Linked DNA regions of Drosophila melanogaster. The protein of the gene in region 2 interacts with the protein of the main gene of each other region in a pairwise test. Each region holds a gene or a part of one and is shown on either strand. Other genes may lie near its edges.

Region 1 (4,188 bases), on a different chromosome or scaffold from region 2:
CTATAAGTCTGCACTGAAAGAAACCAAGCATTGATCTAACAAGAATTTCCCTAATTTCCTGGTTAGTACAACTAGCATGTTTCATTTTAATAGTATGACTACAGTTTATAGAACTAGTTGAGCTCGCAGCACCCAAAAAGAGTTTCTTTCGATAGTTTACAGTGTACTGAAAGCATAAATATATCTTTTTTTCTGCACATTGAAGCTGAAACTTGGAGCCAAAGTTATTGCCAGGGAAAGTTTCCGCAGGTCGTCAAGAGAGTGCTCCAAAATGGTTGCCAAAAAACTGACTTTGCCAACATTCTTGAGCCTTCTTCGCCAGCCAGTTATGAAATATAAACCTGTCTCCTCCGGCAGCCGGCTAATGAGTCCAGAAATGGAAAGTAAAGGAAATGTATGTAAGCCCGGTTTCAAAGTGCACTTACGCTCCCATCTGCGTGCGTTCGAACCGTATTATTGTAAACAAATTTCCAGCTGCAATGTCGGTAAACCGGTTGCTCGAGTACGAAACCTGGAAACCTGACCTGCTGCAAAAGCTTGGCCAAAGAATGGATAAGAAAGTGAATTTCATTTGCCATCCCGGCAGCGCCAGCAAAGTCTATTTAAAAGTGCAGAGCAGCAAAATGGAAAATTAAGCACATCCTGTGCCAGTGGGCTGCTTCACATGAGGTAGTATACTTGATAAATAATAGCCAACATCCAGGGGGGCGTAGGTTTAATAATAACCCGAAGAAAAAAACAAAAAGTACTTTTTTGTATTTTTTGTTTCTACAAGCCTTAATACGGGCATCTAGCGCGTATTAAATGAAAACTCATTAACTACTTCTTAAGGTTTAAAGACTTGATCTCCTCTTCGGTGAGAATGGATTTCTTGAGCGCTGAAAGAACTTCAGGTGGCTGCTTGGAGAGCAGCTTCATCCGCTCAATAGCCACAAGCTCATCCTGGCGATTCTGTTGGTTGTAGACCTCCTGTACAATGTCAACCACCTCCTGGGCAGCGGCTTTCCTGTTATTCTTGGCCTCCACGACCATGTGGGCCATGTCCTGGTAGCATTGGACATCCAAGCGCCGGGTGTTCTCCCGCTGGGCCACTTGCATTCGATACTGTCGTTCGCCGAAGCACATGGGATCCTTGGGCATGACCAGGGCATCCTGCACACCCTTATCTCGGAAGAACTTCTGCTCTTCCCGCTGGCTGAGGAGCTGTTCGCGAATCTCCTGCTTCTTGGCCATTTTGGTTCTAGCCTGTTCCAAGGCCTTCGCGTTCTCCTTGGCCTTGTGCTCGCGGATTAGCAGACTGGTGATGACTTGATCTCGGGACTCCAGATCGTGCTTGATCTGGCTGAGCTGGAAGCCCAGCCGAGCGGCATTAATGTCCCTGGCCTCGATCTCATCAAGGCGTCGTTTCCGTGCCTTTGACACATAGGCCGCCGTAACGGGTCCCAGGGCATCAAGGAGTCCTCTCTCGGGCTTATTCTTTTGGGCCAGAGCGTAGGCCTCGCGGGTTTGCTTCAACATGGCTGCCGATTGGTCTAGGGATTCGAGGAGCACCTTGCGCTGCTGCGCCTTTGTAACTGCATCCTTTAGGATTCCCTGCTCCACTATCTCCTTGCATTCCTTTAGCTCTTGACGACCCTCGGCCACAGCTATTCGATGATCTTGTATCCGCTTGGTACGCCCCTCGGTAATCTGGGCCATTAGATCTCTACGAAACACGGCTGCCTTCTGAGCCCTTCTTTGCTTCTCCTCCTTCAGCTCCTTTTCCACGGCTCGCTGTTCCGCCAAAGCTTCGGCCCGCTCCCGCTGCTTATCTTCCACCGTTTGTTTGATATTGTTGGTGATCTTGTTCTTGACAGCCAACGCTGTGTGGGCACGGGCCACTTCCATCTCGAGATCCCTCAAATTTTCCACATTGCGATGAAGTTGAAGGCATCTACTGGCCTCCACCTGCTGGCGAGCCAGTTCCCTTGCTACACCGAGGGTGACATCCACATCGGTTTGCTCCTTCCGTTGGCGCGGATGCAGGTGACTGTTGAGCATGGCGGCCACTTCGTCCACCTGGTGTTTGACCATTCGGAACAATGAGCTCTCCGCGACAGACGACTGTGTAAGAATGCGGCACACATCCTTATCAGAAACACAGTCGTCCTCGCCCTTCGGCATTGGTTTGAACTCGGTCAGAAGATTCGGTACGGGCTCCTGGGAGGCGGTGGCAAAAATCGAGGCTCCCGGTTCATCCCAGACAATATGGCCAACGCGATCCGACTCCGGTTGGAGATTTTCCATCGTGGTTCAAGAAAACAAACCACTTCCTTTTAAAGAAATTACTTAGGAAAATTTAACTGGGAATGAAATATGTGATATGTCAAGGCGTTTTGAGTGGTATTAGTTCACTCAAAATGTTTTTTTTTTGTGCTAGTAACCTAACGAAATCTACTGACTAACTGAAGACTGCTAGAAAATTTTCAGATATTAAAAAACGACAGTTTTCAGCTGGATAAATAAGTTTAGAAAATAATATTCAGGTTAATTCAAATTACAAGTATGTTATGAAGAATTAAGTGAAACAGATAAGAGCTGGCTAATATTTTTAAGCTGCGAATATAAAGCCACTTTTCTTGATTTTCTGTCATTGACAGAATCTGTCAATTGCCCACGATTACAGAATGTTCCCTTTATATCGGTAAGTTAGCTTACCGTAATTGAAAGCCTGTCCTTCCGTAATTTCAAATTACTTCCTCTGTGAGATTCTGGAAAGGCATTGTAGCTTTATGCAACTACTTTTCCTGAAGCTCAGAAACATGCACTCTACTGTGGGCTGTCTGTGGAGGTCTGTGTGGACTTCCAGTGGATTAGCATATTTGAGTGGGTTCTGGGCCAAGAGGCCAAGAGATCTCTCTCTCTCTCTCACCTACTGCATGGCCGCATTGGGAGCCACAAGCTCGACGGGGGCCAACTTAATGGGGATATGTGCATCAAAGTAAGGCTCAAGTGCTTCCCTTGCGAGCGCGTTGTTGCCCCGACTATTGGCTATATATACCTTTGAATTTGCATACGAATTTGTATGGAAAATCACAACCGAGCTAAACGATTGAGTTTCTGAGCTCGAATGCATTGCACTCAATAGAAATAATATTTCTCCTGAATTTAAAACAGCTATTGAGCTAAAAAGGTATTTAAATAAAAGTCAATTATTTACAGAATACTGAGTATATTGGAAAATAAGATAAAACCAATTATAATTTGTTCACAATTGCAATCAAACATTTTCAACATACGTATATTTAGAATTATAAACTATGGTAGACGTTCTAGAGCGATCTGTCGAGGATTTTTATCGTCTGGCTTCCATAATTTATATATAGTTATCTAACTGCTGAGCGCTGGTTAAATGCTGCCCTGTCATCGCCGTCTTCATCATCATCGTAATCATTGGAGGCAGAAAAGAGCGGAGCTCTCCCAGACCATCAGTCACTGTCCACGACAGAAGCTCATTGGCGGAGTCTCTGTGGCAGGAGGGGATTGAGTTCGTGGCGGGGGGGCATGGGGAATGGGACATGAGTAGCTCCAGTAGCAGCTGCAGCTTCCGAAGGCACTTTCCTCGACGCATTTGTTGGCTGTCCATGGTTTTTGCCGACCAGGGTCCGGATAACCTTTCCATTTTACAACTGTCAACGGCGCAGCGAACGCGATTTGCCAGCGGTTTGTTTTATTTATTTGTTTTTTTTTTGTGCCCCCCCCCCCCCCCTTATTGCCATTTATATTTTCCTCCTGTTTTCCCCAGTGTCGTAATTACGCGTAAAGTTTTGTGCCTGCATTTGAAATTGTACGCAATTTTCCCCGAAAGTGTCAACGCATGTCGGGGCTTTAAAGTTTTGAAAAATGTTAATTTGTTGTCGTTGCTAATGCTGCATTGGGTTTTTCTCTTTTATTTTCCTTTAGCCGCCAATGCAGCTGCTGTTTGAGTTGAGTTCAGTTTTGTTTGTTTGTTGGTTGGTTGGCAATTCGAATCGAACGCGTCTGGCATTACATGACACTCATTATTGCACATTAAGTTGGATGGATGATGGAAAGTGGCGGTCCGACCCTATGAGACAGCAGAATCGCTGGACTGGGGGGGACAATAGAAAGCATTGTTGCTTACCTTAATTGATATAATAAGTATATCTGCCACTCGCACGGAAGTTC
Region 2 (4,603 bases):
TGTGGCTTTTTACACCCAAACCTTGTATAGCTACTCTATAGCATTTCCGATTTAATTGAAGCTCCCCCATTCTACCATTCTAGATGTACATCTACATACATATGTGTACATCCGGTTTAATCAATATATCTCGATGAATTTCCTTATATTCAAGACACAGGCCCCCAAAACATTTAAGTTAATCACAGCGTTGTTCTTGTTTTACACATTATTAAAATTCAGCAACATAAGAATTTTACATTTAAGTGAAAGTTTAAAACGTTAACTGTGTAAGCATACTTTTATGAACAAAACAAAAGCAACAAAAAAAAAAGTAAGAAAAGAAAAGAAAAGAGAACGAAAAATGAAATCAACAAACTTCACTAAAATTAGGTTTGTATTCTGGATACAAAAAAAAAAAAAGAGAGAAGCAAAATGGCAATTAAAAGAAAGAACACAATATAAATAAAATTTGTATATTTAATAAAAATAGCAAAATAAAAATAAACTTCTTTTAAAAAATTTACAAAACCATCTTTGTCCATTTACCAGTTTATTTTTAACAAACAGCCATAAAAAAGTTACATTAGTTAACACCCCCCATCAAGTTAACCACCCGGTTCTTGTACCGCTTGGATATATCCTTCTCGATGTGAGACTGCAGCGTGCGAGTCTGAGCAATCAGCTCCTCCAGCACGGGATTCAGGTCCTGCCGCTGCTCCCGCAGCTCGATGGTCAACTGCTTGAGCGCCTCTCGCGTGGCGCGCAGCTTCTCCACGGCCTTTGTCATTTGCTGCAGCTTGGTGGCCAGCATATTGGCATACTTTGGGGAGTGCTTCAGCTGGAAGAGGTGCTGCGTCTGCTTGTCGGATGTCTGCTGGATTATTTTCTCCACGGACACGAGTATCTTCCAGATGCTCTCACCGTCGTGGGTGGCAATGTTGTCCATCAGCGAGAACATGATGTCGCTGGAGGATTCAAGCTGCTTGAGCTCGTAGATACGCATGCGTAGAAAGGATTCCAGTTCGTAGATTTCGTCCAGGAAGCGATCGCGATAGTTGGGTGAGTCCAGCAAAGTGTAGGCCTGATCGCCTGGAACAACAAACCATTAACCATCATAAAATCGAGTATAATAAAAGAACTTACCCTTGGCAGTGCCGCCATCCATGCCGGTGCCCTCCACCACGATGCCGTACTCCTCGACGGGAATGTCAAAATTGATTTCCACCGCATCGGTGGGTGCACTCTCAATGCCCCAGTCGATGTTGCCGCCGTCGCTTTCCGGCAAATCCCCGCTGCCGAAGTCCCCGTAGTCGATAATCTCAGCCGAAACGGTCGACGAAGTTCCGCCGTTGTCATCCGTTCCGAAGTCAATCTCGGCCACAGCATTGTCATCCTTGCTGGCGTTGCCCTCGCTGAGATTTAGCCGAATGGGCGGCTCCTCGACGGCCAAGGGTGCTTCCTTGTGGATGTACTGGTACACGGTGGTGTTGCCAAACTCCACCAGGTGGTTCAGGATAGGCAGCACTTGCTTGTTGCCGCTGACCTCCGCATACAGGTCGATGCCCGGCTGAATATTGGCAATGCCCACCAGCGACTTATCGTATAGTTCCGGTAGACCAGATAGAACCTGGACGAACTCGGCATGCAGATTGTCGCCCTTGACGCCCAGTTGCTCCAGCAAAGCCGAGTGGTCGGCCAGGATTTGGCTCTCGGGCTTGTTCAGATCGTGCGCTCGCTTCTGGGTCTCGTCCGCCTGCTGCTCCAGCCTGGCCATCTGCTTTCGCACTCCGGGAATCTCGTAGTTCACATTGCGCACGAAAATCTGAGCCGTTTCGGCCAGGTAGGTGGCATTCTTTTCGTACAGGCGGCTAATCTCTTGCCAGTCCTTCATGCGCTGGCTGCCGTAGGTGCCGAACACGCTCTTGGTGTCCTTCTCCGTCTGCTTGAGGATCTCAATGATCTCCTTCACATGGTAGTAGTTGATATCTGCAAGTGGGACACATTAGTGGGATGGCATTCTGGGCACTGGGCACCTACTTGTCCGGGCCAACAGCTTGATCAGCTGCTCATTGGAGGGCATGTCCTGCAGGGCGTTGCTAATCTTCCTGTGGATCTCCCTAAGCTCCTGCTGCACATTCTTGGGCACAATTCTGCGGCTGATCAGCCAGTCCTGCAGCTTCAGCGTGTGTATGTCGATGGGGATCTCGGACTCCTGCTCAAATAAAATGCTGATGAGCGAAATATTCCCAAAGATTTCGTTAATAAAGTGCTTACATTCATTTTAATTAAATGTTTGTCCACGCAGACTGTTTTCTATTATTTTAGCAGCTGGCAGTGTGACCAGTCTACTGTAATAAACAAAGCGGATACTTCAACCATCATACCTTTTTTTTCCAATTGAAAAATTCAAGACATTCACACTGTAAATTTTTTAAATTCAAAAACAATATTTCTGAATGTAGCTAAATGAAACATTTAAATTCAAAAAACTTAATTAAAATGTAAATAGCCAAAAATCCCACCAATATGACAACAAACCGCTCGTACTTTCAAATAATTCCTATTATACATATATTTTGTTTTCAAACAAAGGTCAATCAAAAACTAAGCAATGGTTTCCGCAAATCGATTTCCTTAAGCATTTCCGGGCCTAACCCGAATAGTCATTGGCAATAGCTGCGACATCGGCATCGTCCCGGAACATTTGCGCCACTTGGGCGCTGGGCAGGACCTTCTGTGAGCTACCGGTCTTCGTCTTTCGCCAGATGTCCCACTCCACCGGATGCATTTTCTTCTTGTGGGAGTGCATGTTGGCGTTGGAGTTGAAGGTGCGGGGACAGAAGGGACACTTGTAGAGTGGCTCGCCAGTGTGCTGCGCCATATGCTCCTGCAAACATCAATCGCTTTAATACAACACATAAATAAATAAGGGTAATATGTATTATCCAACCTTAAGGCTGATGTCCTTCTTGAAGGTTTTGCCACACTGCTCGCAGGTGTAGATCACATTCGAGTGGGAGTAGCGCTTATGACCAATCAGCGCGCGGGAGTTCTTGCAGCTCTTGCCACACTCTGAGCAGATAAACAGCTTGCCCTCGTCGTTGTGGCGCCTCAAATGCTGCTTAAGATTGTCCTCGTCCTTCAGCCAGCTCTCGCAGTCAGGACGCGGGCACTTGATCCGTGGTCCGCTCTCCTCGAAGTGCAGGCGAACGTGCTTTTCGAAGACAGCCTTGTCCTTGATCTTCTTGCCGCACACATGGCAGATATTGGCCGCCTTGCGGTGCTGCATGCTGATATGGACCTGCATGTGGTACTCCGTGGCAAAACTGTGGTGTGAAAGGAGAACGATAAGCATTGGAAACACTGCCGTTTAGCTGGCGAGGCTCACGCATTGTGTTTGGGGCACTGCGGGCAGATGAACTTGCGCTCATTTACGGGCACATGGGAGCCCTTGTGCAGTTCGAGCAGGTTGCGTCGCGAGAAGCGTTTGCCGCAGTCCTCGCACTGGAAGTCGCACTCCTCGTCTGGAACATGGTGGACCAGCCAGTGGGCACGCAATACGCTGGAATTGGCGAACACCTTTCCGCAGTCCTTGCATCTGTCGGAAAGGAAAGCTAATTATCAAATCGCTTCGAATTGGTTTGGGTAAGAGAGACCCACTTGATGTACTCGGGATTCTCATGCCTCCTCGCATGCTCCTGGATGAGGCAGCGCTTGTTGAGCTTGCGTCCGCAGCACTTGATGTAGGGCCGCTCGTCCGGATGCTTGTCCTTGAAGTGCTCGCGGATGCCGTCGAAGTCCTCGGCCAAGAATATGCACAGCTCGCAGCCCATGACTATGTAGCGCTTGATCAGTTCCTCGTCCTCTTTGCAAAACGGCGGCAGGCGTTCCATCTTGAATATCCTCTTGGGCGGTCCCCGCTTGACCACCATCTTCTCCTTCCCCTTTCTGCCCACCGACACCGTTCCTCTTTTCGTTTTAGCCGGCTTGGCCACGTCCCGTTTACGTTTGCGTCCACTCCGGGTCACGATCAGGTCGTCGGTGTCATCATCCTCGTCGTCCTCGTAGTCCTCATCCTGTTCATTGTTGGCATCCTCAAAGAGGAGTTCCATGTCGGGTGACTGTCGCTCTGTTTTGATGCCCACCTTGCTGTCTTCCGGGGACATGGGTTGGCTAAGGTCTAACTCGTCCAGGGGATTCACATTTATCTGCGCACCGACATCGTTGTCGACGGCAAGGACGTCGGCCGGCATGAGCACCTCCTCCGGCCAGGAGGTGTTCACCATCTCCGGATCCTGCTTGAACTTGGAGGTGGTGGCGTATATCACCTGGGCCTCCTGTATGGACACGTAGAACTGATGGAACTCGGACACCTGCGTCCAGCAGACGTTGCAAATAACCTTGGATATCTCGTCGTTGGGCAGTACCTGTACGCGTTCCGGAGACGAGATGGTGGTAAAAAAAGATTCCCAGGCACAAAAGTGGGTGGAGGGCAGCAGCTTACCTCGAACCAGAAATGTTGGCGCAGCACCTCCGCCACCTTGCTCTCGCCCGAGTCCACATCGAAGATCTGTAGACACATCTGGGCGCCGCTCACTCCGCGTAAACAGAGGCGGCAGAT

The links.
Region 1: the proteins of CG30291 (region 2) and CG3610 interact in a two-hybrid assay, tested with the Drosophila melanogaster proteins (one large-scale study listed by BioGRID).

Annotation. Positions count from the first base shown.
Region 1 is NT_033777.3:14,843,305-14,847,492, reverse strand, and holds CG3610 (uncharacterized protein), read right to left. Parts: upstream 2,451-4,188; 5' UTR 2,287-2,450; coding exon 820-2,286; 3' UTR 756-819; downstream 1-755.
Region 2 is NT_033778.4:21,007,237-21,011,839, forward strand, and holds CG30291 (uncharacterized protein), read right to left. Parts: upstream 2,341-4,603; 5' UTR 2,263-2,340; coding exon 2,257-2,262; intron 2,195-2,256; coding exon 2,020-2,194; intron 1,969-2,019; coding exon 1,126-1,968; intron 1,072-1,125; coding exon 566-1,071; 3' UTR 519-565; downstream 1-518. Other genes in the region: grau (grauzone), read right to left, coding at 2,633-2,869, 2,933-3,308, 3,371-3,580, 3,643-4,409, 4,487-4,603. UniProt on the Drosophila melanogaster protein: Substrate adapter of E3 ligase complexes mediating ufmylation, the covalent attachment of the ubiquitin-like modifier UFM1 to substrate proteins, and which is involved in various processes, such as ribosome recycling and reticulophagy (also called ER-phagy).